3 linked regions of the Lepisosteus oculatus genome follow. The protein of the gene in region 2 binds, or shares a complex with, the protein of the main gene of each other region. Links are inferred from orthologs where the notes say so. Each region holds a gene or a part of one and is shown on either strand. Other genes may lie near its edges.

What was found.
Region 1: the proteins of siah1 (region 2) and cacybp are in contact, whole or in part, in a crystal structure (PDB 2A25), measured with the Homo sapiens proteins. The link is inferred for Lepisosteus oculatus from reciprocal best matches to the Homo sapiens genes SIAH1 and CACYBP. Residues at the interface, in NP_003022.3 of Homo sapiens: Leu158, Gln159, Asp162, Ile163, Val164, Phe165, Leu166, Ala167, Thr168, Val176, Asp177, Trp178, Val179, Met180, Asn276; in NP_055227.1 of Homo sapiens: Lys59, Pro60, Ala61, Ala62, Val63, Val64, Ala65, Pro66, Ile67.
Region 3: the proteins of siah1 (region 2) and usp19 are in contact, whole or in part, in a crystal structure (PDB 4X3G), measured with the Homo sapiens proteins. The link is inferred for Lepisosteus oculatus from reciprocal best matches to the Homo sapiens genes SIAH1 and USP19. Residues at the interface, in NP_003022.3 of Homo sapiens: Cys130, Pro131, Thr156, Leu158, Gln159, Asp162, Ile163, Val164, Phe165, Leu166, Ala167, Thr168, Leu172, Val176, Asp177, Trp178, Val179, Met180, Asn276; in NP_006668.1 of Homo sapiens: Lys463, Pro464, Thr465, Cys466, Met467, Val468, Pro469, Pro470, Met471.

What each region holds. Positions count from the first base shown.
Region 1 is NC_090704.1:6,019,844-6,030,008, forward strand, and holds cacybp (calcyclin-binding protein), read right to left. Parts: upstream 4,818-10,165; 5' UTR 4,575-4,817; coding exon 4,557-4,574; intron 3,247-4,556; coding exon 3,033-3,246; intron 2,482-3,032; coding exon 2,385-2,481; intron 2,226-2,384; coding exon 2,126-2,225; intron 1,909-2,125; coding exon 1,814-1,908; intron 1,382-1,813; coding exon 1,222-1,381; 3' UTR 703-1,221; downstream 1-702. Other genes in the region: mrps14 (small ribosomal subunit protein uS14m), read right to left, coding at 5,625-5,807, 6,622-6,786, 7,534-7,611. UniProt on the Homo sapiens protein: May be involved in calcium-dependent ubiquitination and subsequent proteasomal degradation of target proteins. Probably serves as a molecular bridge in ubiquitin E3 complexes. Participates in the ubiquitin-mediated degradation of beta-catenin (CTNNB1).
Region 2 is NC_090715.1:1,592,372-1,602,975, forward strand, and holds the start of siah1 (E3 ubiquitin-protein ligase Siah1), read right to left. Parts: upstream 4,822-10,604; 5' UTR 1-4,821. UniProt on the Homo sapiens protein: E3 ubiquitin-protein ligase that mediates ubiquitination and subsequent proteasomal degradation of target proteins.
Region 3 is NC_090699.1:56,114,657-56,124,486, reverse strand, and holds the start of usp19 (ubiquitin carboxyl-terminal hydrolase 19), read left to right. Parts: upstream 1-5,198; 5' UTR 5,199-5,578; intron 5,579-9,252; 5' UTR 9,253-9,388; coding exon 9,389-9,530; intron 9,531-9,830. Other genes in the region: trappc6b (trafficking protein particle complex subunit 6b), read right to left, coding at 187-280, 1,467-1,550, 1,730-1,847, 3,426-3,493, 4,028-4,108. UniProt on the Homo sapiens protein: Deubiquitinating enzyme that regulates the degradation of various proteins by removing ubiquitin moieties, thereby preventing their proteasomal degradation. Stabilizes RNF123, which promotes CDKN1B degradation and contributes to cell proliferation.

The sequences.
Region 1 (10,165 bases), on a different chromosome or scaffold from region 2:
AACTTACTGGTTCATAGACGGTTTCTGTTTCTAATTTAAAAAATGAGGAGCAGTTGCATAAGTTTGAAGACAAGTTTGAAACCAACATTACACAATACTGTAAATTAATGTAGAAAACATTATTTGAATAATGGCTCTTAAACGTAAAGATGCACTATTCATTATTAAACCCCCTTTTAATTTATTATTGGTTATCTATATTATGCATTTTTAAAATCTATAACTTATGTAACTTTATTCTGTACCTTTTAATTTTGTGATTTTTGTTTTTATCTCCACCTGGTGAGCTCGCACAAAAGACATTTCATTGCCAGCAATTACTGCTGCACGATGTATTGTTGTGCATTTGATAAATAAACTTTGATTGTTTGAGATATATCTTATACATAGTTCTGAGTTGGAGCATAGCTACAGCCATAGTATTGTACATAGAGATGTGATAGAGACAACCCTACAGAACACCCGAGAAAGCTCAGTTTTCCACTGAGGGTGCCTTTGTGGTACAGTGGAGTTCAGTTGCTAAAGGATACTGCGTATCTTGCAGCTGGGACTAGGCCTAACACACAGCACTCAAACCCTGGATAGGGATGAACTATACCAATCTCATGAGTGGAAAACACACAGTTTGGCCCCAGTTCTACAAACTGCAAAATCAACACTGGTTTCCTTTCAGACACTATCCGAAAAAAAAAATACATCAAACAAGTTTGATTTTATTTTATTTTATGTTTTTTTTGAATAATAGGCACATAGTTCACCCTTTCCCTGCATATTCCAGCTGTTACTCTGCGCAAATGTAATGATGATAGGCTAAGAATTTTTCAAATTTTCTTTAAAATCTTTCTCCATCATGCACTGATCACAGCTGTCTTTAAGAACAGAATGATTAAGAATAATTCTGATAACTCAGCTAGTTCACTATCTTCTATATGGTATGAACTGGAAGTCAGTGAGCAGAAACAAAACCACACAAACATCTTTTCTCAACTTACGACCTACAATCTGAGTTCACCTGAAACCAGTTATCAACATAAAATCCATTTGTGTCTTTAGACCATCCTTTAAGTCCACAGTTGCAGCAGGGTAACAATGTATGTCATGCTAAAGGAAGCAGTCAATATTTCAGTAAGAGGTGAACAACAAAAAGTATTTTCAGGGACAAAAAAGGAGAGCAATCCACCGTTCTTGTTTGCTTTCCTTTCAGTATTTAATCTTTGTGGTTCAGAGTTCCATGTCTTCACCTCTGGCTTTTTTCTCTTGAGATTCTGCCCAAGCTTTGTTGATGGTTCGCTTCATTTCATCATCACCTTCAGAGTAGATTTTCTTTAGCATGCTCATGAGCCCTTCACTTGGGTCAGCGTTCTCATCAAAACTGGGTTTTCTGGAAGGAAACAAATGAGTCCAATCATCAAAGCCTTAGGAATTGTCAAATGTTAACTTACAATTGACAACAATTTTCTCTATACATTTAAAAATGCAAGTCCCGATAATTGTCACTTTCCAGTTCCAATAAAAACTAAATCTATGTTAAATCAAAATGAAAAAACCAAACCACGATTAGGTCAGGTGTATTAAAAATTCAAACGTTTTTTTATTCCCCAGATTTACCTTTGATTTAATGCAAAAATTAGACATTTCACTTTTGTGCAATGCCCAATATATTGCAACTTGTAAAAAGAGATCTAATTAAGAAACCAAAACACTCAGGATGACAGTAAGTGATCTATCACCAAGCAATCTATTCAATCTACTTGGAAAAGTACACTATCTAATAAACAGCACAACTTAGCTTTCTGAGTATAGCAATACTTACTCTTTATCTTTAGTTTGTTTTTCCACCTGGGTCAAGCACTCCCATTTTTTTGAGCTCTTCTTTTTACACATCACTAAGACCATATCTGTTTTCACCTACGAAGTTAGCAAACAGTTTAGACAACCAACCAAATAAAAACAATGGCAAACACAAAGCACGTGCTGTGCAATATTCGAAACTGATTTTCCTACAAAGGCGACTTTTAAACAATAAGATCACATGACACATATATTGCAAAAGCTTATCTAAACTAGTTTACAAGGTTTAGCAATTTCACATATCCTGATTTAAAAAACCAGTATCTTTACTGACCTTTCGACAGCTTTCCTGTATGTCAATGGGTTGTAAGAGGTTGTTGACAGTCATTTGGTAGTTCATTCCTTCCAGATCTTTTACAAGCAAGACAAAAGACCTACAGAAAACACATATATATATATTAAAGTTAAAATGTTTTTAATGTGGAAGTAAGAAATTATGGCATACAAAGTTATTCTTTAATAATTTAATACCTTTATTAACAATATTTAATACAACTTTTAGAGAAGAAGTGTACTTTCAACTCTGTTCTTACCTCTCTGTAAAGCTTGCCTCAATGTTTTCCGTTGAGATCTTATGGACTCCTTTAAGAGTAATATATATTTTTATGAACTTATCCGATTGGTCCCATCCTGCATGATAAATAGGGAAAACAAAGATGAAAAAAAAAAGTTGAGAAGTGCAGTTTAAACACAAAATGACCGTTGGCCGCTAAACGCAATGGAATCATCATACTGAATGCAGACAAATCTAAAACAGATTAAACAATCTTAAAACAGATACAACACTACAGTCAACAAGGTTGCAGTTACAAGCTGTGCCTCAATAAAGAACAGAACATTTTGTAAGAAAAAAGCGCCAGCTGTTAACACAGAACTCTAGCTTTCCATAGACAAAGATAATCCTACTTTATTTGATTTTGGAATTAAGATACATTCCTTTTTGATTTTCCACAGATGAGTATGATCATATTTAACAGAAGAACATCGTGCTTTCTTTTGCAGCTGGTAACTTTGCCATCAAGAACAGGGAATTATAATATCCTACTGATTTTGCTTTTCAAGGAATATAAGAAGGGAAACTTTAGAGAGTAGCTTATAAGCAAAACAGAATAAAAAGAACCAGCTGACAAATCATTAGAGTTTTTTTTTACCAGACCGCAGGTTGAAAGAAAAGAAATTACCGTAGTTATTGATTTTGACAGTGTAGCCCTTGGCGGCTGAGGGCACAGCTTTGTCTGAATCAGAACCTTCCTTCTTGTTCAGCTGCTGCTGCTTCGCTGTGATTTCTCTCTCGAGCTTCTTCTGCTCTGCAGTCAGGACATCCTGAATTCTCTTTCTCTCGGCGATCTCCAGCAAAGACTTGACCTCCTTCAGGTCACTCTCAAGCTGAGAAATCTGAAAAAAAAAACCCCAGCAAAAACAAGGACCAGAAATGATTTTTAGGAATGCAAGAAAATAAAGAACGGATACAAATTAGAGAAGGATGATCAATCCATCTAGCCCCTTTTTGTAGTTAGTCTATCCCATGTTATTACTTGTAATGACATTTACAGTAGATATGCCAAGAAATACTGTCACATATACAAAGAAATTTCCGATAATTTAGTTGCGATGCATGTTTTATGACCATTTAGAGATGGAAGAAGAACCAGCCATACTCTCCAGGGTCACAAAAGGCAGCCCAAAGCAGTTTGTGCATACTAGCTCACACGTTGTAAGAGTGCATTCTCTAGAACGACCTTGACTCTGATAAAGTCAAGAAGCTGTAGAAAACATAACTACTCTTCTCTGTCAAGTCTGGACTGTTTTTCCATTAGGAGTTCTTCTGAGAAACGGGAAAAAGCATTACACTGCTCTTGTATTAGCAGTTCTAGAAATTGCGGGGAATATTGCTAAACTGTGTCATATTTTTGTTTTTTGCATGCAAGAACTGTTTTGTTAAGATACAAAAAATATGTTAGAATATCTGTAAGACACGTCCATTAGACATTATTTATTTACATTATTTGTACACTTGCTGTCTTTGTTGAAAAAATAATACAATTCCTGTTATTAGGTAGTGACAACTGGTCTATATAAGCATAAAAAGGACATAAAAGTAAAGGCTTGCTACAGTCTTAAAGAAGGAATATGACAATGCGATCTTTTATCTTTGTTGGTTTACTTAACATTTTAAAATATCAACATTAAATCAACTGAAGAGCTCATTATCAGGTAATAAGTACATTAATTAACAAGGTTAGAAGACAGATGTTTGTTAGTCTGATAAGCGTTTTTCGTCTGTCAAAAAACCCACGTGTTAATTACGTGAGGAGATAAAATACAATCAGAAACATACGTATGTATATGTAATAAGAGAGAATACCCTTCAGAATTAACTATAAAACTACCAAGAAGGATACATTGGCAGTTATGTTTGCAAAAAGTTAACACCGAACAACGAGCAAATAGGGTTGGATTAGTAATCAATACGGTTCGAAGAAATATCGTTATTTTTCGATGCAACACCTTTGCTAGATTCAATAGCGCACTGCAAACGCTTCTGAGTCCATGGTCTAAGCCATAGTGAACCTGTTGTGAAAAGTTAATGCACCTGAGCCCAAGAAAAGTATTATGCATCTAAACAAGCTCATTGGAGGGCACAATGTTTTAAAAGGTAGGTACTGTTGTATATAGTTTCTCAATCAGTTATTTTATCTACTTACCTGTTCATTGGTGCCCATTGCAACAGGGAGCAGAAATTATATATCACCGCTGATTTACTGTATGCAGCTCGTACAACGGAGTGTTCTTTTTCTATCGCAGACGTTTTCTTAAACAGAGTTTATAATGTTAATACCAAGTAACAACAGCAGTGGTTTTCATATAATCGCCTGTCACAATACCACACTACTTTCGTTTCTTCTACAGCATTCTAGAAGATTTCTTTCACGCAGCCCGGACTCGACGTGCTTGCGTAGGTCGGCAAGTTTTAACGTCATTTCCAGGCTACAAAGACTACAGCGATTCCCTTCGGCACGGACTTCCGGCGTCGCGCTCACTCTTGGAATTATGGGATACGGCGAGTTCCGGACTACGCGACCTCTTCCCCACTTGTCCTTTTTTTAATCCAGATCCGTGAACTCCCATGATTAATAACCTCTGTTGAAGATTAATTTCGGTATAGCAGGAGGCCTTCCTTGCTTTATAATCGGTGCTCTACAAAAATTGATGCATTTTCTTTTCAAGCCCATAACTTGTCAAAATCCTCAGTCGTTTAAAATAACTTATTTTATGCTATAGTCTACTTTATACAATAATGTAGCTATTAAAAACAAAAAAAGGTAAATACATGAAGGTCTGAAACATTAGGCTTTTAAGTCACCTTTCTATTGAAGATGGAAATTTACATTGTATTTCCTGACAGGATTCCAGTGGATATAAGAATGTAGCCTTCATTACATAGACCAACACTATCAGGGCCAGGAAAGTAATTTCCAATTGAGAAGCAAGTCTAACTTTTGATTAAATGCATGTCTAAAATTTTAAGAAAATAAAAAGAAAAACAGTAAATGCTCCCAACATCCAGGTATTTAATTTATTTATTATTAGAATTGATTCAACACAAGTGCAATGACATAGTCTACATTTTTTTTTCTTCCTTTGCTACAGTTTCCCAGTAACAAAAGCAACAGTAATAAAAAGACGAGAGTGCAGTGGAGTCCTATGCCACTGTGCCAACTGTCCCTTGTTTGCAGCTCTACTGCGCGAGGAAATCCCAATGAAGAGGACTGCTACCACATTGCTCTCTGGATTCCCGACATCTGATTGTGATCAGCGAGGTGGCGGAAAACTATCCGGCTCAGTCTCCACCTGCGCTTCACCCCTCGCGGCCGGGACGTCATCACACACCTGTTCCGGATCCGGACTGGGCAGCTGTCCCGTGGCAGGGCGGCAATTTCTTTATCGGCTACCTCCTAGCAGAAGGGAGAAACAGACCAGAGCAACATCACGCGCAGTACCGGCTTGCTTTTAACTCACCAGCTTCCAGAAATATGTGCATCTGCTCAAGGCACATAAAAACACAAAAGGGCAGGTGACAAACTTTACTTTTAACGGTCTTCTGATTGATGCCGTTAGTTATTTAGAACACTGTATCGTTCATTGCAGCAGTGCTAATGCAGCTTTTTCCTCTTCACTATCCTTTTAGTCAAGGTCTGTTCAAACATCATAGACATCTGATGTTTGCATCTGTAGAGCTGCAGGTCAATTTAAAGTGTTCTAAAGCTTTGAAAAATACCAATAAAATGCTGATTACATTGTTTCTGACCACTATATGCTGCAGTGCAATTACAACACTCTCCTTCGAAGAATCACCAAAGTGTGCAGCAACCAGACACTAAAATACAGTAGAGGTTCTACTCAGTAATTTCCATATCTGAGTCACATGTGGCTTGTCGGATCTTATCCTGGTTTGTGCAGCATTAAGTAAATGACAGAGCATTTGACATTACCCTCAAGCCAGGAGGGCACCAGCTCCCAGCAATACTCATTTACAAAGCCTGAATGGACCTGACCAATTAGTATAGAGACCCTCAGCAGAGAACACTTTAATCCACACCCCACCAGTTAAAGATCCAGAGACTTACCCACAGTGCACCAAAGAGAATAACAGTACAGAACATTAATTAAGTTAAAAAAAGAAATACAGGTAGTGCTAAGTATATGCGACTCAATCAAAAAAAAAAATCTCTAACGGCATTTTCAATTAAAAGAAGATCTCTTCAGTACCTGCAACTCTTTTGGCAAGATTGTGTTCTTCCTAATCGCATTAATCCGGAGTCGGTCATTTGCGTATTCAAACGCCATTTGTCTTCTCTTCACGTCTCGCAGCATCCTCCAGTCCACATAGTAACCTCTGGCCTGTTCCACATTACATCTGGAACTTCTCAGGGTCTGACAAGAGGAAAAGAACCGAAATATTGTATTATTAAAATAGCAGAGAATGACGCAAAATGCGCTTAATCGGTTTTAAATAACCGTGCTTAACTCCATTAACAGCATTTAAAGCGATTTTCAACACCTTATAAAAATCTGCACATCCACACGTAATAGGCGTATGCTACATAATTTTAGTGAGTATTCAATTACCTGAATCTACAAGGCTCTTATTTAATTGGGATGTTAAGACACGATAGAGCACTTGATTAAAATCCAGGAGTTTTCTTTGCAGATGCAAAGTCTGCTTGAAGAAAGCTCTGGTTCCGTTTCAGGTTTTGTGACCGAGTTTCAGTTATCAGTGAAGGGTCCACAGAAACAAAACATCATGGGGTTTGTATTGCCGGGGTAGATGCGCTTCTGCGAAGATATACGAATTCTGTATTATTGAGACACAAGGACTGAAAAGGGTAGCGCACGTAAAAGGTGTATAGAAGGATGATAAAAGTTATAAACTGCATGTTCTAAATGTTTCTGCAAGACAATAAGAGGTAGAAATCATCTTGAGAAATGGCTGGTAAATTTTAAAAGAAAACGATTTTTTACTATATTGTAAGTCGTTCCAAATGCTGTACTCGATGAGATACTTGTGTTTTTCACATTGTGTTTATTGGATACTGCCATTACCTCTTCAAATGCCCAATATAGAAGCCTGTATTCTAAACATTGAGAAAGTCACCTGCTTTTAAAAGATTTAAGTGTTACCTGGGTAGCTCTCCAAAACGAAGACTGCAAAATCCCCAACCCCGAAGCGACAAACCTCCCCCATATGGAAGCAGCCATGTTGCATCGTGACTTTCAAACCACAACTTTATTTAAAAACGACATCCGTCCACAGTTCACAGAAAGTGTAGACTACAACATCAATCCCATGGCCAGAAATGTTAAGAATTAATATTTAAATTCACAAAATAATTAACTCTTAAGAGCTTTTAATCATACTGCATGATTTTTTTTAAAAAAAGTTTCGTGTCAGCATTCTAAAAATACTTTCCATTCCGGTTATTGTTCATTTTCCGTTATAGTAGTTCACCTGTATAAGAACGATTAGCATCCAAACATTCTTTAACAACTTCAGGATCGAGGGATAGCCGGAGCCCATTCCGCAATTTTTCTATCTAAAAACAAACATTATTCAGTAACTCCGTAGTTACTACACTAAAGCCATATATTAAGGTTTATAACAGACCTATTTTAACTTTTGCATTGTTATGGCTGTCTTGATTAATTGCATTGTGCTGGGTTACATGTGAGCCAGAGACCCATATATTATATTCTTCAATAAAGACGAAGAAAAGAATCGAGATTCAAGAAGTGATGCAATCACTAATAAACATAATTGACAATTAGCAGGATCAAACAATTATATAAAAAAACTGCAATGGGACTAATAAAAAGAGGGAAATCGTGAATCGCAATTCAGAAGGAAGCGCAGGAGTAAAATGCAAGTTAAAAAGTTTCTGACATTAGTAACCTATAAAGTGTACTTGAGGTTAAGCAAGATTTTTAGTGTTTTACAGTAAACGAAGAACAGAATCTGTCGAACTCGTACACTAATTTTATAAGGACGTCACGTGGTAAAAACACAACTTCTAAAATCATTTTGAAATCGTTTGGAACATAAATTATTATCCCCCAAATAGTCCATTTCGTTGAACACATTGCGTACATCATTGATCGGTAATGTGATTTTTTGGGAAAACGTATTCTCAATCCGATTTGGAATGACCTGTTAGGTTCTTTCCAGGACCAGAGGTGGACATGCATGGTGTAAAACACTAGGACTCATCATCATTCCTAGAGGGCTGCAATGTATGTCCAAAAACGAGCACTTAATTAATCTAATTACGTTCTTAATTAGGTTTTATTTTAGAACATGCACACATATACTTACAGACTATCGCTTTCAAGGTGCTGTTGGGGGGCAAGGTCCCTGACCTTTCTGAGCCTTGAGGGGAGTTTTACATTCTTGCAAGTAATTAGGTAATTGACGAATTAAAAAGCAGAGAATGGAACTCTCTCAAGAGTCTGACACGAGAAGACAAGGGAGACCCTTCAGGTATATTACTGTAAATCTGACACCCTCCCTATTTGTGTGTAAGATCTGACAGTGACAGTTAGAGGGCAGCATTTGATCGCAGCATTTAATTTCTCTTTAGAACAATTTCACCATTTAACTAAAAGCACCATATGATCTGGACTATTTTCCACTTTTTTTAATCTGGTGGTACTCTCTAGTATATGACCTGATGCAGTAGACACACTGTAGCATTCCCGTAACCTGATTTTCTTAACCATTGAACGTTTTAAATGTTGAGACTATAAATATCTCCTTTCTGATCATCATAAGGCCGTCAAACAAAACTTCACAATTTTACATTCTGACCGCCTGTTCTACACAAGTGAGACACAGCTTTTAGTTTCGACAGAATCTGCTATACTGTATCGCCAGCAAATACCTATCGAAAAGCAGCTCATATAAATGTATTCGTTTGTTGTTGTTTTTTTTTGCAGACAGTTAACTGTCATTTACACCCAGGAAACATGAAGAAGACTTGCTTATCTTTTCAGGTAACGTGTCAGAGCGCTGAGGATCGAAGACGCCTCCAGGCAGAACAGTCCTCGGTTTTAATTATCGCACTCATGATTGCGCTGACCTCTCTGTATCCCTTTACAAGGATTCAAAGGCTTCTGTGCAAAAAAAAAAGACTTCAAATGATTAAAATCATCGTGGGACTGGTTTCCCACTATCTCCTACTTTTCCCCAGTGAGCTGCCAATCTATGCAATTCCCAAATTGTGCCTCAGTCCATTTTAACCATTTGTAGTATTTGCTTACACATAACATACAGTATACTGTATATGTCTGCAATATTCATAATTATTAATCAGATCAATTTACCAGACCGTGAAAGCAACTCTGATGAGGCGTGAAATAATTTGCATTAGTTCTGCTACTCCTGAAATATAATAACGTGTGTACCACGCAAACATAATTGAAATAAATATGTATTTCTTGAGAAGCGTGACAGTATAAATAAGACGAACGTTTTAAATAAAAAAGCGCCACCTATTCTGACTTTTATCATTGTTGATTACGCAGAGATGCTTATTGATTCCTATAGATAGTTTTTACAAGAGGAATTCCAGGCATTTGATCCTTTCTTGATGATGAAAAAAACCTCAATTTGTAAAATTTGTACGATTAAGAAAATATATCTTACAAGCTTTTGCCTTAAAGGTTTTTAATGAAAGGAGGCTTGCAAGGAGACATTTTTACCCTTTGACCAGGAGGTGGCGCACTTGTCTTTGAGTATTTCAAGGTTGCGAGCGGTGAG
Region 2 (10,604 bases):
TGGGGGAGAAACACTGGGAGAAGCCATGGGGGAAAGAAAAACAAACTCTGCTCATTTCCCTTGCTGGCAAAGCAAATTCCAGCACCCAGTTCTCTTCTGGTCGCTTATCTTCAGGAAAACAGAACCCCCGAACACCAGCAGCAGGAGAGGCCTTTTGTAGTGGCGAGTTAAAAATAAGTCCTCCCCTCCCCAGCTCCAGCTCCAGGATGGAGCGATCCTCCTTTGTGTGCGCTGCGCAGCCTGCAAGTTTCGAATGTCACGCTGCAGCCTTCTCACTCCCCTTTGAGGAGCAAGTCCTTCCTCTGGGCTCTGCTCCGTCTCGGGTTTCACGGCCTCGTGGCTCCACCTACAACCACCAGCCGCACAGACAAAGAAAGTGAGCTGACAGCTCTGAAGTGGCTGGGCCTGCCCCACACCGCGCCTCTCGGGGCCTGCCCTGCCTTCACCACAGTCAGGGCCCAGAAACATTCAACACAACCCGCTGGAAACCACGCTAAAAAGAAAAAGCCTGATCCTTCACCGACAACAGTTAGAGCTGAAACTCCAACAGCACACAGGTGACAGGACTAAACTTCATACTTGGGATTAAAAAAGAACTCCCTTCTTACTGAGGATAGATCAAAAATCCCAATGACCTCTAAAAGAGAAAGATCTACGATACACTGCAGAAACAAAATAAAAAACTTTTATGACTTCAGCTTGCAGAAAAATCAACTATATTCATATCAAAGTGGAAGGGGGAAAGTTCCACAAATTAAACTAAAACAAAAACAAACGAATTTCCACCTGTGCCAGCTCTTGGGGTCTGGGAGTTTGTGCACGCTTGTCCTTTTGGAGTAACTGGCTGCAGCTCAGCCTGATCCCCTGGCACTGATTTGCTCTAATCTGGAGTGCTAACAACCCTTCTGTTTTCACACCTTCAACTCCCACACTGGCAGCTACTTTACATTGTGCCCGATGCGTGAAGATTAAAACTATCTGCATTCCTCAAAACAACACGCAGGCTAGTCTGCCTCCACTCATCGCCCTCCAGCCTCCCAACCACCTAGGCAAGACAGAAGACATTAGAGATAATGGCCTCACAGTGGATGTCTGAGACACTCTAGTTAACCTCATTTAGTAGTTCCGGAAAGCACTCTGCTATCTGTAACTTTTGACAATTTAATTTCAAGTTGGAGAACATTAAGGCAGGAGAGAAGTGAAGGCTGACACACAGGTACTTCAGACAAACTATTGCCTATCCTGCAAATTATTCATTTGCCTTTAGCAACACTCATGTTTCCTGGACACAAGCTCTCAGCTCCATGAAGATAAAAGAAAATGGAAAATTAACAAGAAAGTCCCATTTCCAACAGCAGCTATACCACATGACAAGATCAAGCAGTCAGACCTCAGCAAGATCTCCAGGCATGGCTGAACTTGGTCTGTATTGGACCAAGAAGAAGAGAGGAGGTGGCTGCTATACCTGGCAGACCAGTATATGGTGCTCTTTCCTCTGGACCAGAAATACTAAACCAGCATGGCAAGTGTGACAGGACTAAATACCTTCTTTTGGACAAAGCATTAAATCAAGAGCCCGAAAACTTGGCCTTTAAAAATCAAGATTTAAGAGCTTATTAAGGCACCCTTAATAAGAGCAGAGCTGTGAGTTGTGGTGGTCAGGTTAAATTTCACTCTTGGATTGTAGTAGCCAGCCTCAATAAGCTTCCCCAGGTCACAGGTGGGTACTGTGCTTCAGTGGTAGATGAGGCAGGTTCTTGCGATGCCTAAAAAAAAAACCTTCGGACCATTTAGGATGAAAAGCACAACATGAGTGCGAATAATTTGATATCATAACAGACCTAAGCTACGTATGTGACAAGCTGTCCAGATGGTTGCAGTAATGGTGAAAACTGCTCCCCCAGCATCTCTCCAAACCACAGAGTTTTAGACCATTCAGCAGGAATGTGACCCCTCTGATGTGGATTTGTGTTAAACTGGATGTGCCTAAGAGCAGGCATACATACTTTTTTGCTCTATAACTTCGGGGCAGTACGTGTAGCCACACTACAACACGCATGATAAACAGAATTCTGCTTACGCTGCATGCGCTGTGGGATGTAAAGCTTAGTAGCACGCAGGGAAGCCAGGTTTTTGTGAACAAAGGAATGCAAATAAGATGTTTACATAAAAAAAGGCAAACAGGCTATTTACATATATGCTTGCAGAAGCCCATGATGAACCAGGATATGGAGCAAATAAGGGATATGTAACATGATGCAAAGCAGATTCCATATGGAAAACTCATTATGAGTGAACTGCGTAATAAACAAACACCTCACATTACTGTTAATAAAGAACACTTGTCACAAACTCTCCTTTTATGCGAAAAATAAAACACATTCCAGGCACATTCCCATGCACTCCAGTAAATCTTAGCATTAATTTTTAAAATATGACATTGTTAGGAGGCTGTTTGGAGTTCTTGCTAGCCTAAAATATAAATTTAGCGGTGGCCCGGTTAGGTCTTTCAGCTCTGCTGCAGGAATTTGGGGTTATAGTGCAAATAGATGTTTTTCCAGCTCAAATCTTTCCAGGGTTCAGTGGGCTGTTTTGGAGCAGACGCTGGCTGGATATACCATACTCTTTTTCAGGAGGAACAGCAAGTTTCAGCTCACAACAATAACCAGACAGCACAGAGGCGAGACTTCAAAAATAATTGACACACGACCTTCATGGACATGAATACCATGGACACGGGCCCTGACTTTGGTACAACACTGCGATATGCATTGTAAAAGAAATACAAGTTATAAAACAGGATCTGTCAACGTAATATTTCTCCGTAGAGTATTTATTGTGTTTATCACTAAAATAAAGCACAAGTGGAAACAGGCATGTTTTTATTTCCTCTAAACCATATCTAATCTTTTGGAAGCTCTCAAAGGGCCTCAGTAACCCAAATCTTCAACACTAACGGAACACACTGAACATTTTCAAAACCAATCCTCTGAATTGTTCTCAAAGGGGACCTTGGAAATTCCCCGAGATATCTCAGCTGAATCCCGAAACGGCCAGCCCAGAAGCTGCACAGGCAAGACCAAACGAAAGACGAAACCCAAAACACAAACACAGACAGTTCAGTAATCGCCTACCCTGCAGCACTGAAGTTCCTGCATGAAGCATGTCCAGGCGCGAGGTGGGTGAGGGGCAGAAACCAGGGGTCCACCTTGCAAACGATGCTCATCTAACTTAACAGAGGTCTCAAAACTGAAGGGGAATATAGGATACCTGCCATGGCCACAGGAAACAGACAAGGGCCTATATCCTCATCAGACTACATGCACAAGTGCAGTTGTCAGATCCCAACTACCCAAAGAAGACAAAACAGACTTTTCAGATAACGTCTTGCATGTCTGAGAACTATGGCTCAGCAAAGGCTGGTGCCTTTTCTACAATGCCCAAAGGAAGCATTTACTCCCATTAAAAAGTAAAACACAAACGCCCATTAGAATACATTTGCAAATCTGCAATTCTGACTGGCACACACTTAAGTCACCTTAAGTAGCTACAGACTCAAGTACTGGCAGCAGAGCCTAACTGTACTGCAGCAAACTCACCGGAATACAACCGATGCTTAGTCAGGTGAGCGACTGATTAGAAAACTTAGAAGAGGTTATCACTGATAAGCCAATACACTCAAATTAACAGTAACCCTATTTCAGAAGCTGGGTGTCAATACCTACGGCCTGTAACAATCCTTCACATGTGTACTCTCATTCTGCAGCTGCCACTCTGCTGAAGGGGCTCTAGAGCAGAAATAAGTACCACAGACAAGCTCAGCAGGGACAGTTTTAAAGCAGATGCGAGGGTGATAAATCCTCTTAAGAAACAGAGGGCGGTTCACCTGCGTGCCCAAGATTTAGAGCTGGGATGACAGCTGTCTAAAAGCCCCTGAGTCACCCACTCTACTTCAGGATGAGGAGAGAGGTGGCATGTCCCACACCTATGGGAGCTATTCATGTACAGTGGGTCCAGTCCCCTCTACCCTGAATCAGGGTGGCAGCAAGGACAACTAGCAGGGTCCCAATAGCACCCCCTTTGCAATTAACAATCACCCCTTCACAGTGACCCAGAAACATTTGGGCAGTCACAAGAAAGTGTGTCAAACAGCCACAATATCATGTATCTGCTTTTACAACAGCAAATACATCAGCAAAACAGATGGACTAATCCCTACCTTAGCAAAGTGCAATGTAATGGTGACATTTAACTACATATTACACTGTACTGCAATATGGGATTTTTACAACACAAATGCTAGTTTTGCCTACAGCAGCAACGCAACTGCCAAAATATCGTGCAACATCTTTATCTCAAATGCTTCTTTAAAACTGGCACTAGGGGAACTGAAGATCTCCCTCACAGGGGGGCAAATCTCATTTCGTTAATGCGTTCCTGGGTCACTACTGTAACCCACGCAACCCGCTTTTGTGGAGTAAATCTGAACTTCAAAGCAGACGTAATCCGCTCAGAGCATCAAACATCTCTTAATGGTCCAGATGCAATCGTCTCGGAGGACAGCTGGTTCCGTACCCGTCCGGCGCTCAGGAGCTGCAGCGTCCGTCTTACAGACGAGTACATTCAATCACCTGATGCCCTCACACATCCTCAAGGCAAGAAGCAAGGTTTCGGCTCCAGCAGCACAGGCCGGGGTAGCAACTTGACCTCCGCCATGTTGGCAGCGAAAAGACATGCACCCAAAAACCCAAACATCACGGCACCGTCTGCCGGGCTCGGACAGCCGGGCGGCAGGGGATTTAAAAACAAACCGCAGAGGGGGTATTCAGATAGCAATAGTGTTTAAAAGATTACCGTGAGACATACACACACGCCCCCCTGCTACAGGGGTATGTAGGGGATGAAAGCCATTTCTCCTGTATGAGGTTAGAGAAGAGGTCGCTCTTCTAACGCTCCTGCTGTCTGCGGTCCTTCAGCAGTTCGGGGAAACACAACGATCGTTTCCATTTCCCGGGGTTCGTCAGCCAAGCTGGACATCTCGTAGAGCCGCTCTCTCAATCGTTTAAAACAACAACAACAACAACCCGGCTTCTGCGGGGACCGAGCTCAGCCTCCCCGCCGCGCACGCCTGCACCCAAACCGAGAGGCCCAGCAACCCCAGCCCGCAGGACTGAGCAGCGGCCCCCCCTTCCCTTCCCGGCCCGCACGCCGACGCCGAGTAGGCCGCAGAGCCCCGCCGCCGTGAAGGGCAAGCCCGTGCCCGGCTGCCTCCTCGCCGGCCGGCCGGGGCTGCGCCGAGGCGCCCTCACGGCTAACCCGGCCCGGCCCGGGGGCTCTCCCGGAGACAGCGGGCCGGCCCCTGCACACGCACACGCACCCCCGCTGTTAAATACCCCCCCAGCCGACCCCCCCCGACACAGAGAAGAGCCTTGGGGAGGAAGAAAAAAAAAAGCAGACCTCTACCTTCGTGCTCGCTTTTACCTTTCCCGGGCCAGGACGAGCTCAGCGACATGGTCGCGGCCACTGTAACGTGCTCTTCCCACAACAAAGCGGAGCCGCGCCGACCCGTAATCCCAACCGAAACCCCGTCCGGACCCGGTCCGGGAGGGGGTCAACCGCTTACCTCTGACGAAATGTCTTTTTTTACTTTACTTTTTTTTTGTCGCTTTCCTTAATTATCCCAGCAGGCTTTCCGCTCGTAATGTTTTTTTTTTACCCTTTCGTTGTGTCCAGTGTTTCTGGATCCCCACATCCACGCTGTGTGTCTCCACACACACACACAGAGACAGACTCAGCCGCCGGTCTCGGAGCCGCGCACCGACTGTTGTTGAAATACTTTTCCACGGGAACTGCGGCGGGCGGCGGGGGCGCGCAGCCGGGAGCGCGCACCAGCTTCAGAAAGCGGGGGGCGGCGCTTCCGTCCATCTTGGCACGGACGTCACGTGCTCAGGTGTGCGACGCGGTGACAGGTGTAAAACAAACATCCCTGTATCTTATTGCCGAGTAAACGGCGCTCTAAACAGAGGGAATCGGATCAGGGCCGAGTTGAAGTCTCTAAGGAACAGCAAAGGAAACAAAACCCAATACAAACCAGGGGCGTTTTAAAGCGGCGGCAATTTTGGCGTGGAGGCGTTAAGCATTAAGTGATACTCAAATCCTAGCCGACTATCATTTTCAAAATGTCTTAACTACAAGGAAATCATACTGTATGTTTAGACTGCATGTGTACTTCTGTTGTAGGTGTGTGGCTTCTAATAAAACAAACACTAAGTTCAGCTCAATGGATCAATTAGTTGATTTAATGAAGCAAATATTTGGACATGGATATGAAAAGTAACCAGAGCCAGTAGGAACAAAAATACAGCTCAGGAAATCACAATGGATTTTCGGGACATAAACAGTGTAACAGTTGTTTTGTAACGTCAAAACCAACGTTAGTGTCTTGTCTGACCTCCCTGAAGACTAACTCAGCCCTGGAGCACTGACTCACAGTCCTGATCAGCCTCTGGACCGTAGGCTGTCCGGCTACACTCTTCCAGGGCAGCTGCTGCCAGCTGGTCAGGGGCGGCCTGTCGTGACGTCTCCTGTTGAAGTCTGTAGTAATTTGGTCCCACAGCTGCTCTGTTGCCACAGAGAGACCCTGACAGTGTTTTCCTGAGGTTGTCCTGTTGTAATCCTGCCTGGGTGGTCTTGCATCATCCGTTCTGGAAAATGTTCACTTCCAGCCAGGCTTGCAGGAATGGAAGAGCTGTTTCCTCAAGCTCTTTCTTCCTCAGCAGTAGGTTTGTGGTCAGTCTGAACCGAAGGTGTCCTGGTGTTAAAGGAGACTCCTCTGCACATCACCACACCTCCACCACTCCAGCAGTTTGTCTTCAACAGTCAACATAAGGCTCATGAAGGTGTCTCCACACACCTTGTCTTCCATCAGTCTTACAAGAGCCCAACAGGAGCGGAGTGGTGGCTCTGTGGCTCAGGATCTGCGCCTGTGGCTGGAAGGTTACCAGTTCAAATCCTGCAGCCGGCAGAGGAATCCTACTCCGTTGGGCCCCCGAGCAAGGCCCTTCACCCCAACTGCTCCAGGGGCGCTGTATAAATGACCCTGCGCTCTGACCCCAAGCTTCTTTCCCTGTCTGTGTGTCTCATGGAGAGCAAGCTGGGGTCTGTGAAAAGACAAATTCCTCATGCAAGAAACTGTATAGGGCTAATAAAGTGATGTTATGTTAAAACAGCCAGGAAGTCAGGAAATAAAACCCTCCAGCAGTCACTCTGCTGCCACCCCATGTCCTCTGGCCCACAGCAGACAGCGATTTCATCTCCCTGCGATGACATGTTAGTGAGCCTTTCTGCACCCCCACCTGGCTTCCACAACACGCCGAGACTGAAGAGCCCCAGCCGACAGAGGACAGCAGCTCTGGGGTCCCTGTGCTGACAGGAGTGACCAGTGAATTGGGCTGCAGGCAGCCTGTGTCATTCCCAAACCAGAGCCCTTTCGACAGCCTGGCTACAGACGAAGACCGGGTGAGTTGTGAGACACTGCAAGAGGAGGGTAACTGCTCTGAGGCCATCTTAGAGACTGTGTGCGGCAGGGACACTTTTTCCTTGCAGTGCAACGATAATATGCCTCTGCAAGGACACACTTCTGTCTGCAGTACCAAGCACCTGGCTGTCTCGCCTCCTACTCCTGTCTGCATCAGAGACACAGACAGCAGGCAGGGTCACTCTGCGTCCTCAGACGAGCTCTGCCAGCTAGCGGGGAGCCCGGACTTCATCCCAGAGCCCGTCTCACAGCAGCAGGAACACAGGCAGGACCTGGAATTCATCTTGTCTCCAGACAGCGTCCGTCTCACTACCATTTCTCCCACACACATTTTCAGCACGGTTCAACAGCACCGATTTGAACCCAACGGGGAGCTCACACTGCAGTCCCGACACCAGCCAGCGGGCATTGATTTGGGCCAGAGCAGCGTCATGCCCGGTACCCCGGTGCTGCTGAAGAGAACCGGGCCTGCTCTTGTGTTGGGCCTCACATGAGGGTACTGTTCAGGGAGCCTGGTTGAAAAGGACCAACCAGGGACAGGCTGGATACCCAGGAAGATAGAAACTGGACTGGATAATGGATTTTGAGTTATATAATGCCGTTCACAACATGTTGATATCTGGTACTTTCCTTGTGTTTTTTAACATTTTTGTCCTAACATGTTTTTTTGTTTTGTTCTGCTTGAAGTGTGATGCAAGACAGTTTTGTTGTTGTTTTGTTTCAGTTTAACATGTGAGAACTGCCTGAGCTATTTTTGTGGTTCAATGTTTTCGGTGACACTTGCTTTTCATGCTTTTCGGCCTTTGCCATCGTTTAGGCCTCATTGTTACGGCGCTTAGTGAAGGACATTTACACAAAACATTTTCTTGATTTTATTACTGGTTTAGTTTAAAAACTTGTTATGGTTCTATTTACAATGTTTGTGTTTTGTCACATTTAAACCTTAGATCTGTTGGTTTAGTGCTGCTATTCAAATGCACCTTTCATATGCCAGCAGCTATATCACCCTGCAACTCACAACTGGCAGCCCACTGAAGCTCAGCAGGTGTGAGCCTGGTCAGTACCTGGATGGGAGACCTCCTGGGAAAAACTAAGGCTGCTGCTGGAAGAGGTGTCAGTGGGGCCAGCAGGGGACCTCACCCTGCGGTCCATGTGGGTCCTAATGCCCCAGTATAGTGACGGTGACACTATACTGTAAACAGGCGCCGTCCTTCGGATGAGAAATAAAACCGAGGTCCTGACTCTCTCTGGTCATTAAAAATCCCGGGGCGTTTCTCGAAAAGAGTAGGGGTGTTACCCCAGCGTCCTGGCCAAATTTCCCATTGGCCCTTACCAATCATGGCCTCCTAATAATCCCCCTCTATGAACTGGCTACATTCATTACATACATACATTAGCTGGTGTGTGGTGAGCATTCTGGTGCACTATGGCTAGGGCTGGGCCATTCTGGTGGGGCTGCACACTGGTGGTGGTGGTCAAAGTGCCAAACAGGGACTCAGGTTTACAGCAGCAGTGCCTTCCAAGCAGTGGAGACCATGTGTACCCTACTATTCCCAGCATTGTCTAGGTAAAAGATAACTTTGATTGTTCTCCTTTACAGTTTTACCTGGGACCAAATCTCTGCCATTGTCTTAGAGTCACTTCAAACAAAGACTCTTTAGAGGAAAGAAAAGGAACAGAATGTAGTTTTTTGTGTGTGTTTTTGTTATAATGAGTAATGGACACCTCTGTGTTTATTGAGTTGAAAGAGCTGTGGTCTATAGCAAACAGTTTATTCTGTCACTGAACAGGGTTTGCAAGGCACCAGAAATTGGTAAGCGACACTTGTGGGATTAATCAGATCTCAGAAGCAGAAGCTGAAATCCGCGTGAATCACATAAATAAGGTGACTTCCACTGTTCAGTACAGATTTGTTGGGTCCACTGGGGAACCTGTATGCAAAGTTTTGTATTTTTGTTTTGCAAAAGACCACTAGCCATAAAACGACATCAGACACAGAGTGATTGTCCTAATGTTGCTAACGTTGGTAATTGGGCATCCTCTTGATAAGCCTATAAATAAGGGAAATCAAGTTGGAAAAAACACTAAGCTCTCTCAGTAAAGAACACTCGTTTTCTCTTAAACTGGGGAATTTAAATTCAGAAACCTACTGAAATATAATTCAGATAAAAGCAGAAATATGTTACCTTTCCTTCACCCCTTTAATAACTTCTCTACTCTATAAGGTCACTTGATGAAACCAATTATTGGGGACAATAGTTTTGTTACAACTTTGGTGGCTGAGACATGATAAAGTTTGTGACACTGGGAAGAGTAAATACTTCTATCTTCAAAGCAGAGAGGATGTTTGCTGAGGTCTGGGGAGTCCCTTGAGCAGAAACAAGAATAGTAAATAATAGTAAAATTCATCTTAGTATGTCTAGGCAAGTTGAGCATTAATGATTGCAAAGGAGCAAAGCAGAAAGACACAGTTTCACATTAAGAGCACAGGAGAAGAGAAGCAGGAGGAGAAACAAGGAGAGCAGGGAGAAGAGAGGAGTCCGGAGGAGTTGGGACTTGAAGCTTGTGCCAAGTGAGTGCCCCTACCTCTTGATCATCCAAACCAAAATTGACTGGAACTGAGTAGTTGAACCTTATCAGTGTTTTTAGGGAACTTGGGTTTCCTGGGTAAAAGATACCTCAGTTAGAAACATCTTTCCTGATTAGGGTGAATTTTATGGATAGGGATATATGCTCCCATTTATTTTGTGGCATCCAAGGCGCAGAGAGAGAGACTTAACTGTAGGTTGCTTTGTATGTAGTTAGAAGGCAGCTCACCTCTTGTGAGGCCTCTGTAGGCATTAGTAGCAGTCTGGAGTTGTCTGGGTGACCAGAATGTTAGGCCTCTGAAACGCCTTATTTGTAAATTCTGAATATAATGTAACTTTGTGTGTTGTATGTTTTGTGTCTTGTGTAGTTTATTGTAATATCTGTTTTAACTAAGTGTGCCTGGATTATTACTCCTCTCAACAAAGCTGTGCCAGAGAATGAAGAATTCAGGTGTGCCTCTAGTTATACCAGCTGGGGT
Region 3 (9,830 bases), on a different chromosome or scaffold from region 2:
TGTTTTTCCAAACAGATAATATGATTTGACTGGAATTAAACCACATCTTACAAATGGAAAACTACTTCATTTCTTCCAGGCAGTTTCTCTTAAAGTGGAACATGAAAGATAATGTCCCCAGCTGAGACCAGTACCGAGATATAAAACAGTCTATTCATGAATTGTGTAGAAAGCAAGTGAACTCACATGCAGGCATCACAGAGACTTCTGCCGTGACAATGCTTTTAACCCCCAGATTTGACAGTCCTCCTCTCACCAGACCACAGGTGAATGCCAAATACTGAAAAACAACACAGTGTACAGTCCTTTTAGGCCTATCACCTTAAACAAAATAACTCTAATACCTTCCAGTCTCACTTTGCCTCAATCTGTGCAGATAATGAGGAAGTACTGTGCATTAATTAAAAACACAAAGGGTAACTGTATATCATGTTCTGACCTGTTAGATGTGTAGTGGGTTCAATGCCAATGGACGAACTTGGGACCAGATTTTGAAAACCACACCTGATTATGTTAGAGAGATACGCTTCTGTGCAAAAGTCTTTATCTTAGACACCATCAGGGATTACAACATATACCTGTACATAGTATGTACAATTTCCTCAAAGCACCCACTGCTATTTTCTACTAATAAAACAGGTTTGCCAGTATTAATACAGCCTAGAGTGAGAATCCAAAAAGCAATCTCTTTAAATTATGTTGACCAGTATTTTCAAACACCTAATCATAGCTATTCAGGGTAAACCATACATGAATATGAAGTGCCGTTGTAGTTAATCCATCATCTTTAACAATCACATACAATGGACTCACTGTCAGGTGTTCCTAATCATTAACATCACTTGTTCCTCTACACATCCACAAAGATGAAAGGATGCTTTTTGTTTGTTTTTGTTGTGTACTTAAAATGAAATGGCTGAAATTTCAACTGATCTATGTTCACACAGCAGAGAAAAAGGAAACTAAACAATGCAGAAGGCTGAAGACTGGAATTTCAGTAAAATACGATTTTGGATGCCATGCCTTTTCTTTTTCAAGGATGCCAAAAATGTATCTACAGTGTAATATATATTATCTGCACTCATTTACTCACATGATGCCAGCATTATAGATGGCTTTCCATTGTACCTATACACTCTCTATTTCTATGGAAAATAGCAAATACAAACCCTCATCCTATTTATACCACTAAGTGTAGTGCGTGTGTTTTAGTAATTTCAGGAATGACATTTAGTTTATTTTTTAAGTTCTCATTTGAAATTTAAGCTACAACTGATCATATTCTAAGCTTGTACTGTGTGATCTTCTATGGAATCATCTGATCTTAAAAATATCTCTCTTTGGCACTGACTTGAATAATCCCAGCTGAAAAACAGCAAACTCAACGACATCTAGGACCCTATTAATGAATATAGTTTGTTCTTTTTAAATTTATTTTGGAAGTACTGTATATAGCATTGTCTTACCTTGGGTGCATGCTCTAAATACTGTTTTCCTGCAGAGATCTGTGTCAGCAACCGGAACTTGTTATCCTGTAGCACATAAATTCCCTGCAAAGGTCAATATGCATTTATTATTAATAATTTATTGACTTAGCAAACACCCTTGTCTGAGATGGCATATTGTTTTACACAGCTTTGCATTATTTTTTTTGCACTTATTCAGTCAAATTATAATTAAATGTGTAGAGCATAGGATAGTAAAAATAAAGTACAGACAAAAAGATCACCTGATGGTTTGTTCTTAAGTTATCAATTTGCTTTTTGAAAACACAGGTCCAGAAATCTTTACAAATGAACTTCATGACATCCAGTTCATCTTTGAACCGTGCAGTGTCTTTGGTGAACCTGGCAGGAGACAATACAGTAATTTAGTCTTTTATTGATTTTCACTCCCATTACAAGTGGAAAAATCATTCAGAAATACTACTGGTGTTATACAATAACACCATAAACATTGGTAAACTGGTATTTTATGAATGATTTCCCCCCTAATGAAAGGTAATAAGAACAATACTTTACAGTTCCCTTTCTAACAGGATCCACCAACGTACAAGATTCATTATAATAAAAAAGGCACTGTCCTTGGCTAAAGGTAATTACTTGACAGTTTTTCTCCCTGGGAATCTAAGAACACAAGAATGGTTACAGACAAGAGGCCTATATAACTCTTTCAATTACTAGTAGCTAATTGACTGAAGGATCTCAACTAGCTTTTGTTTTTAATAAAAACCAAGGCTTCGACAACATGGGAATCTCTTCCTGTCCTTCACCCAGAACACTTTGTAATTTAAATGTTGTTGGCAGAAATATTAAAATTACTTTCAGCATCTGGCAAATTGCATGTGTTTCCTTGCCCCTGCTGAGGGTAAGAAAAAGGTATATTGACACAGATATATGACATTCATCATGGACTGCCAATATAATTATTATTTTGAGGTTTTACTTAACTTGAACTTGAACTTTATTGCCATATGTAACCGGTACTGGTACAATGGAATTCTTACTTACAGAAAGTCTCTCGATTGTAAAACAAGTGTAAAAAACAAGACAAAGTGCAAACAGTGCATCAAGACAATGTACAAACTTGACATACAGTAAGAGTAGGGAGCTGCGTCAGCATGCGTAGGCTGCAAAGGAACAACTAAAGCTTCATTCCACGCTGAAAGGTAAAGAAAGTTTCTTTACCATTACCTTTCTTCTCTGGATGAGACATAAAACTTAGGTCCTGACTCTCCGTGGTCATTTAAAATCCCATGGCGTTTCTCAAAAAGAGTAGGGGTGTTAACCCCCGGTGTCCTGGCCAAATTTCACCCTGGCCTTTACCAATCATGGTCTCCTAATAATCCCCATCTATGAATTGGCTTCATCACTCTGTTCTCCTCCCCACTGATAGCTGGTGTGTGGTGAGCATACTGGCACAGTATGGCTGCTGTCGCTTTATCCAGATGGGGGCTACACATTGGTTGTGGTGGAGGGAGTCCCCATTACCTATAAAGCGCTTTATGTGCAGTGTCCACAAAAAAAAAGGTGTATAAAATGTAAGGAATTAATTTACCTTACATCATGAAATTAAGCTTTACCTGTTCAGTGACATAACTGTACAGTATTCTCCATGCTAATGATACAACCGTGAGCAGAACTGTTTCCTACACACCTGTCTCTATCACTATTTAAAGCGTAGAATGAAGTCTTCTGATATTTTCTTGTGAATATGTTTTTTATATCTCATCATTAAGTGGATCTTTAACTTTTTTTTCAGATTTGTACATTTCAGTACAAATCTGAAAAAAAACGTTTGTCAGAACAGGACCCAGTGGATTGGTACTTGGTACTAAGGTCCAAATAAATTCCAAATGACACGCTCATAAAGTGAATCAGAGATAATAATAATAAATAATTATTTAAAAATGTTTTTTAATATACCTTTCTATTAATCCTTGGCCCACTCTGAAGCCCATGTTTTCCAGTCTTGTTATGCATCTCCCATTCTCCTGGAAATAACCCCCAAAAAAAACAACAGTAAAACTGATCACATTAAAACTTAACCTGGCTTAGGTATAGAGGCGCACAGAAATGTTAATAAGCACGTTACCACTAATACATAGTTTCTAATCTCCCCTTTGTTGTAGGTTTTTCGTAAACTGAGGCAGTGTAACCCAGTCATCTGACACGACAAGCAGACTTTCCATATGGTGCTATACGTTGTACCTTACAGGACGATAACTTCTTCTCTGCACTAATTCATTTGAATTAACTGATAGTGCGTACTGTACATACATCACTGTCTCCCACTGCCGTCTTTTCAGAGCAACATCCACCAGGTGTCTGAAGCTGGAAGCGTGAACCTCTTCAACAGCCGGTGTGTAAAATGGCAACAACTGGCACTGGAGTATTCACAGAATGTCACTTTTAAATGACTAATTACTTTTAAAAAAGTGATTTTGCATCATTTGAAACGGGTCAGAGTTAATGTCGCCACACGATACTGTATGTTCACGATAAAACACGCTGGATGCAATACTTACCATCTCCCCATGCTCAGCCGACTTGTAAACATACTGTATGAGCTCATTGTGGAGGAACTGAAACAGAACTTCATCCGCCATTCTGGCTCAACCCCTGTCCAGCAAATATCCCTTGCGAATGTATATTTATTAACAACACCCAATAATTTGCTACAATGTATTTTTTTTAAAAGAGACGAGAAGACTACTTCAACCCACAACGCCGCCCTGCTAGCAGAACTGAAAACCGCTGTGCACCGGCGCAGCGTGTATCTTACTGTAGAAAGATAAATATACCTACGTTCAGTCGTACACACATTCACAATTAAAAACGGGTCGCGCTGTATTTAAAGTGTACTAAAACATCTATTCGTCGAGTAAAAAGAACACCTGTTTACATGTTTTAAATAAATCAAATGTAAGACGGTACTAGACCTTTTTAAATATTCCTCTACTCAAGTATTTTACGGGGTCCTTATTCATACAATATGGTCGTCTTCAGAATTGCCTGTATACACACACACACTTAGTCACTTGCATTAGAAGTCACTATACGTCCATGCTATACCGATAAGACAAAGCAGCAAACAGAGAAATGGACAATGACACTACACTGTTTCCTGACCATATAATGCATCTGAATCTGTCAAAATATTATACTTCTTTTTCTGCAAATATAACTCTGCAGTGACAGTATAATACAATAGCTTTGGATAATTGAAACATTGGGGTTTTAAAAAAGGAAAAAGGAAAACAATTTACATATGATTTCAAAAACCCTTGCAGGTTTGTAATGGTAGTAGATAGGTTAGGATATATTGTTTTTAAAACTGGTATGAGCGCTACTAATTTGAGAGACTCGTGAATTTGAGAAGGGGAATCCAGTATCATAGCAATGAGATTTAAATTATTCACACATTTGACCATGTTGTGATGGGATCAAAGTATTGTTTATCCTGAGAGGTTGCGTATACAATGATAAAACTAGTCTATTCTACATTTTCGTCCGAGTAACATTTTTGTGTTTCTGTGTATTTATCATCATATAACCGCCTGTGTATAAATATTGTCTGTATTTTTCCAAAATGTGTTTTTCCCCCTTTTTTTCTTTCCAATATGTGTGACTGCTGTCATTATTGTTGACAAAATCAGATGCACCCCTGTCATGTGACGAGAGTCAATGTTCGACTCCTTGTGGCTTCAGGAAGTAGTTGTGTTGAGGGTTTCGGTTTCAGCTGTTTTTGTTCCTAAACAAAGTGCGAGTCACTGTGCTGAGGCCGGTGAGAGAAAGAGTTGGAGAAGAGAGTTTTCAGCCGCGACAGAAAGCGTCCCCCTTCCAGATTCACTATCGAAATATTCAATAAGGTGACACGGGATGGGCCCGGGCTAGAAAATTCTAGATACCGCCGGTGTGCTGAGCTCCAGTTTCGGACAGGGACGGACAGCGGCCCGCTGCCCGCTGCCTAATTGCGGAGCCTCGGGCTGGAGTGTCTTGTCTCGCCGGCTACCGGTCGCAGGAGGAATCAGAAAAAAAACAAAACACATGAGCAACACCGTCTGCCCCTAAACTCTGTGAGTATAAGCCGCTTTATTTATGCTTTGCATTGACATGGATTATGCGTTAGTTGGGAGAAATGATTATCGATGTCTTGTTAAATCGTGAGGTTGGACAGCTCTCTCCCATGGTCACATTAATCACTGTGATAGATGCTGCGCTGCTCAGATGTCTGTCATTAAGTTGGCGATTCGCTACCTCGACGGCTTTGCACACGGTGGAATTCCTCCTTTGGGCTGGATTGATTTCTTACCGTTGAAACTTCAACGCTCCGTTTCAAGAGGCTCCGTTTGGAAAACGTGGTTTTGTTATGCAACCACTGTCACTGCAATGCAAACAATGAGAGAACGGGTTCAATACGGTTTGGCAGTTCCGTAATCCCGAAGACTTCACAAGCTGGCAAGAGTAATCGGGTTTTCATTTATTTGCCCTTGTTTGCGAACAATTCTATGCAAACTACGAAATCAGAAGGGAAAAGGATAAAGCAGTATGAAAGTGGTATTTTGATTCTGTGATTTATGTTTTGGTTGATTATGCACCTAACACTTGGATGTTACAGTAAGCCACCCGATCTGTGCTGAAACTCCTTTTCGTTGGGAAGGCTTTACGAAAAAGAACAAAACAATGTAAAAAAAAATGAAAGGATAATAGGCCTCTCTTTGCTTTACGCACACAATGAAGCCTGGGTCCCCCCTGTCTTGTCAGATTACCGCAAAGCCGGTTTGTATAGATCTCGTTCGAAGATTAAAACAATAGTCTTAATAACCACGCTCTTCGTTATTTGTATGTCCTGCCTTAGAAGAGTTGCAGGTGAAAATGTACTGGCCTTTGACGCAGTGGAGCCCTTTGGATCTACATCTCGTCGTTTGAATTAAAGAGTTCTGTATTTTCAGGAGCTGACACTGTCTTAACCTGTCCATCAGGAGAGAAGTCTTGTAATCACGTGGGATTTTTCAGTGAAATATAATTCTGGTTAAATGCAGCATACAGTATCTCATTTACTCTCATTCCCACATTACCCTGTGATTAGGGTAAAAGTTCAACAGCTGCAGTAGTGTAAATTTCACATCATACATTTAAGAAATGAAATGATAAGGGATCTTTGATTGCAGGATATTACTTGCAGGTAACAAAAATATGAAATCTTAATATAAGATGGAAGACTTGTGTGGAATGTTGACACATTATCTAGACCTGATGGAAACAAAAATAATGTACGAATTGTTTTTAAAAGTATATAAATTAAATCTTGAGATATATTTAAATTGTACAATGCGTGACTAAAGCCCCATTTTTAGGATAGTGTATCGCTTTTTGTTCCCATGTTAAAAAATATTGCTTCTACAGAATCAGTCCAGGTAAGAGCGATCAGATTCATTCCATTCATTGTCCTACAGAGACAAGCCAGAAGAATTGAATCTTTTTAGACTGTGTCCACTAATTCAGAATTCTCAAGCCCTTTGACAGAGTCAACCCATTGGACTTCTGCAGAGCCTACAGTGAAACATAAACAAGAGAATATAAGTGGGAACTATGGGGAAGTACATTTAAAATTGGGAACAGGAGGCGTGGGTAGTCAGGTGTCTAGAACAAGCTACCCAGCCACGTTGTCAAAGCTGACATCTTGGCTTTTTTCAATAATCAGTTGGATGAAAACATCGGGTGCATTAAGTACCTTCTCTTGTTTTACCCTGTCTTATGTTCTTGTGTTTGTACCTAAGGTTATTTCAGGTAAGCAAGTCTTATCTTGGTATTCAAAACCATCCCTTAAGTTAAAGTATAATACCATTGGCTTAGGACATTCTGAATTACTGTAAATGACTGTCAGTTTTCTTTAATAAAAAATGAATTTGCAAATTCTTTTTTTTAAATATTTTTTAAATGGCTAAGTAAAGATGCCTTTTAATGTAAACAACTGAGTGTTAGGCTCATCAGTTAATGTTCAGAATATTAGACGAGACACTCTATGTTGACTCCATAATTGCAAGTTTTCTGTCCCTGTTGTGAACTACAGAACAACAGTAGTTTGCATGTGACACAAAGTCTGTGTTTTACAGTATCAAGCTACTGATTTGTTAACATAGCAGAATCTCCCATGTATTATTTAAATTATCCAAAACTGCAGTAACAAAAGTTCTTTGCAGTATTTCATTTAAAAATGTATTGAAACAGCAGGCACATTAACTGAGCTTGTTGGATTCTGACATATTGTTATTGCCTGTGATGAATTGGCTCTAAGGCTTCAGTCATGAACATTTCCTGTGTTTCAGTTCTGGAAAAAGAAATCTGCTATAAGATGTTGTAAATTCAGTTCCTTAGCATGAACATATTACAGCTGAAGATGTATAGTTTAACATTGTACTAAACAATTATTGAGTTTAATTCTCTATTTTGGTGAATCTGTTTTTGTTTACATTTTAAGCAATTGCTTTTTCTATTTGCAATAATAAACTGGTGTTCTTTAAATGTAATTATTTTAGTTTGAGATACCTGTGAATACATTTTATACTTATTTAAAATAAAAGTAACATTTGTGTTTTTCCTTTATAGTTATAATGTGTATATTTAATAAGTCTACTTCAATAAAGTAATAAGGATAATGTTAAAAAAGTAAAGAACCATAATCTAATCTCCACTGTAGTCAAATCTCATTAATTTAGGAATGATCACCACTTTATTGTTTAAATAGCATCATAAATGACGCAGACATGTTTCACTGCTTTGTTTTTTCTCCTAAGCCATAATAGCTTGTAGGCTGTAAGTGGTCTTTTCCATAACCAGCTCCTGCTTATTAAATGAAAGATGTGTGCAATTTGTAGTAGCATGGTAGACTAGCATTGCACTGAAAGTCTCTGAGCAGGTCATTTTCTAGCGCCTGAGAATGATCTTGGTTCATTAATGGTTTTTAGGATAATGTTAAATATTTCAGATTACCCAAAGGAGGGAGCTGATTCTTTGGAAGTGGTTTGGTGGAAGATGTTTGTATAATTGTGTTAGGGTATGGCAGGGTACAGATTATTGTTAATCTTGCTTGAACCAATGACTATTTTGTGACAATAAAATGGGTAATGCACTACAAAATGAGCCTGCTAGTTACTAATCACATCTGACTAAAGTTTTATTTCAGATTTCATTAGCATGTGTCTTAGTCTGATGATAAGAATGAGTGGTGTATTTTGTAGAACATGTTCCTTGAGCAGGAATCTGTACTTTGTACAAAAATTGCTTAAAACCTGATTATATCCTAGGACTGTCTCTTGGTCAGTCCAAAGATATAAGGTCAATAAGTCAAAACGTGTTTTATTTTGCCCTGATTTTTGTTGGTACCGTAAGGGCTGATGAAAACAGGTAGAAACGTACTGCATCTTGTTCGGGCACATTGAATAACAGATTCAAAAAGAGATTTGAAAACTGCAGAATTTTATACACTTGCAGGACCCAATTGCTTTGTGTAACAATTTGAGCAAACGCCATTCTTTAGATTCTGCTGAAAATGTATGATATTTTTCTTAAGAATGCAGTACTGCTCTTTTGTATAGATTGAGTTTTTTAGATTTCCTTTTTGAAGTGATAAGTTATTTTATTTTAAAAAACAGTATTTTCAGGAACTTTTTACAGACTGAAGATTTCTTGTCAAGGTTTATAGGAAAGCTGGAGCTTTGATCAGTCTTCTCATTCCCTTCTCCATCAGGCCCTTTGTTTTGTTTGGGAGAGTTCTGCCATCTAAAGTCGCCAAAATAGCTGGGCCAGGTAGAAAGCGCCATACCCCTGAACCAGACACCGCCAGTGAAGCCAGTGGGCAGTCCGCGATCAGCAAGTGGCTCAAGATGGCCAGCACCACTGAGGCCGCTGGCTGCCGGAGACCGTCTCGTGGGCCAGAGGACAGCACCAGCAAGAAGAAGCAGAAGGACAAGGCCAACCAGGAGAGCAAGGAGGCTAAGCGGGCCAGCAGCTTAGAAACAAAAAAAGGTACTGTTCTCTGAGCAGCTGGCTCTCCTGCTCAGTGCCTTAGAGCAGCTGCCTTTTCTTTGTCTCATTCACTGACATTTTTTTTTGTCTTGGTGTTTCCAGTAGCTGTGCACAGTAAATGCTAGCTTACTTGATGAAGTAAAAGAAGTGTCAGGAAAATTAAGAATCTGCAGCAGCTCCAAGTAGCGCTGCTCAGCTCCGCTGATGCCCAGCCAGAGCCAGGGCTCCCGTGTGTCACTTGAAATACGGGATTTTGCTGCTCAGTGTCGTGCTGTCCTTGTAGGGTTTGGACATGTTTGC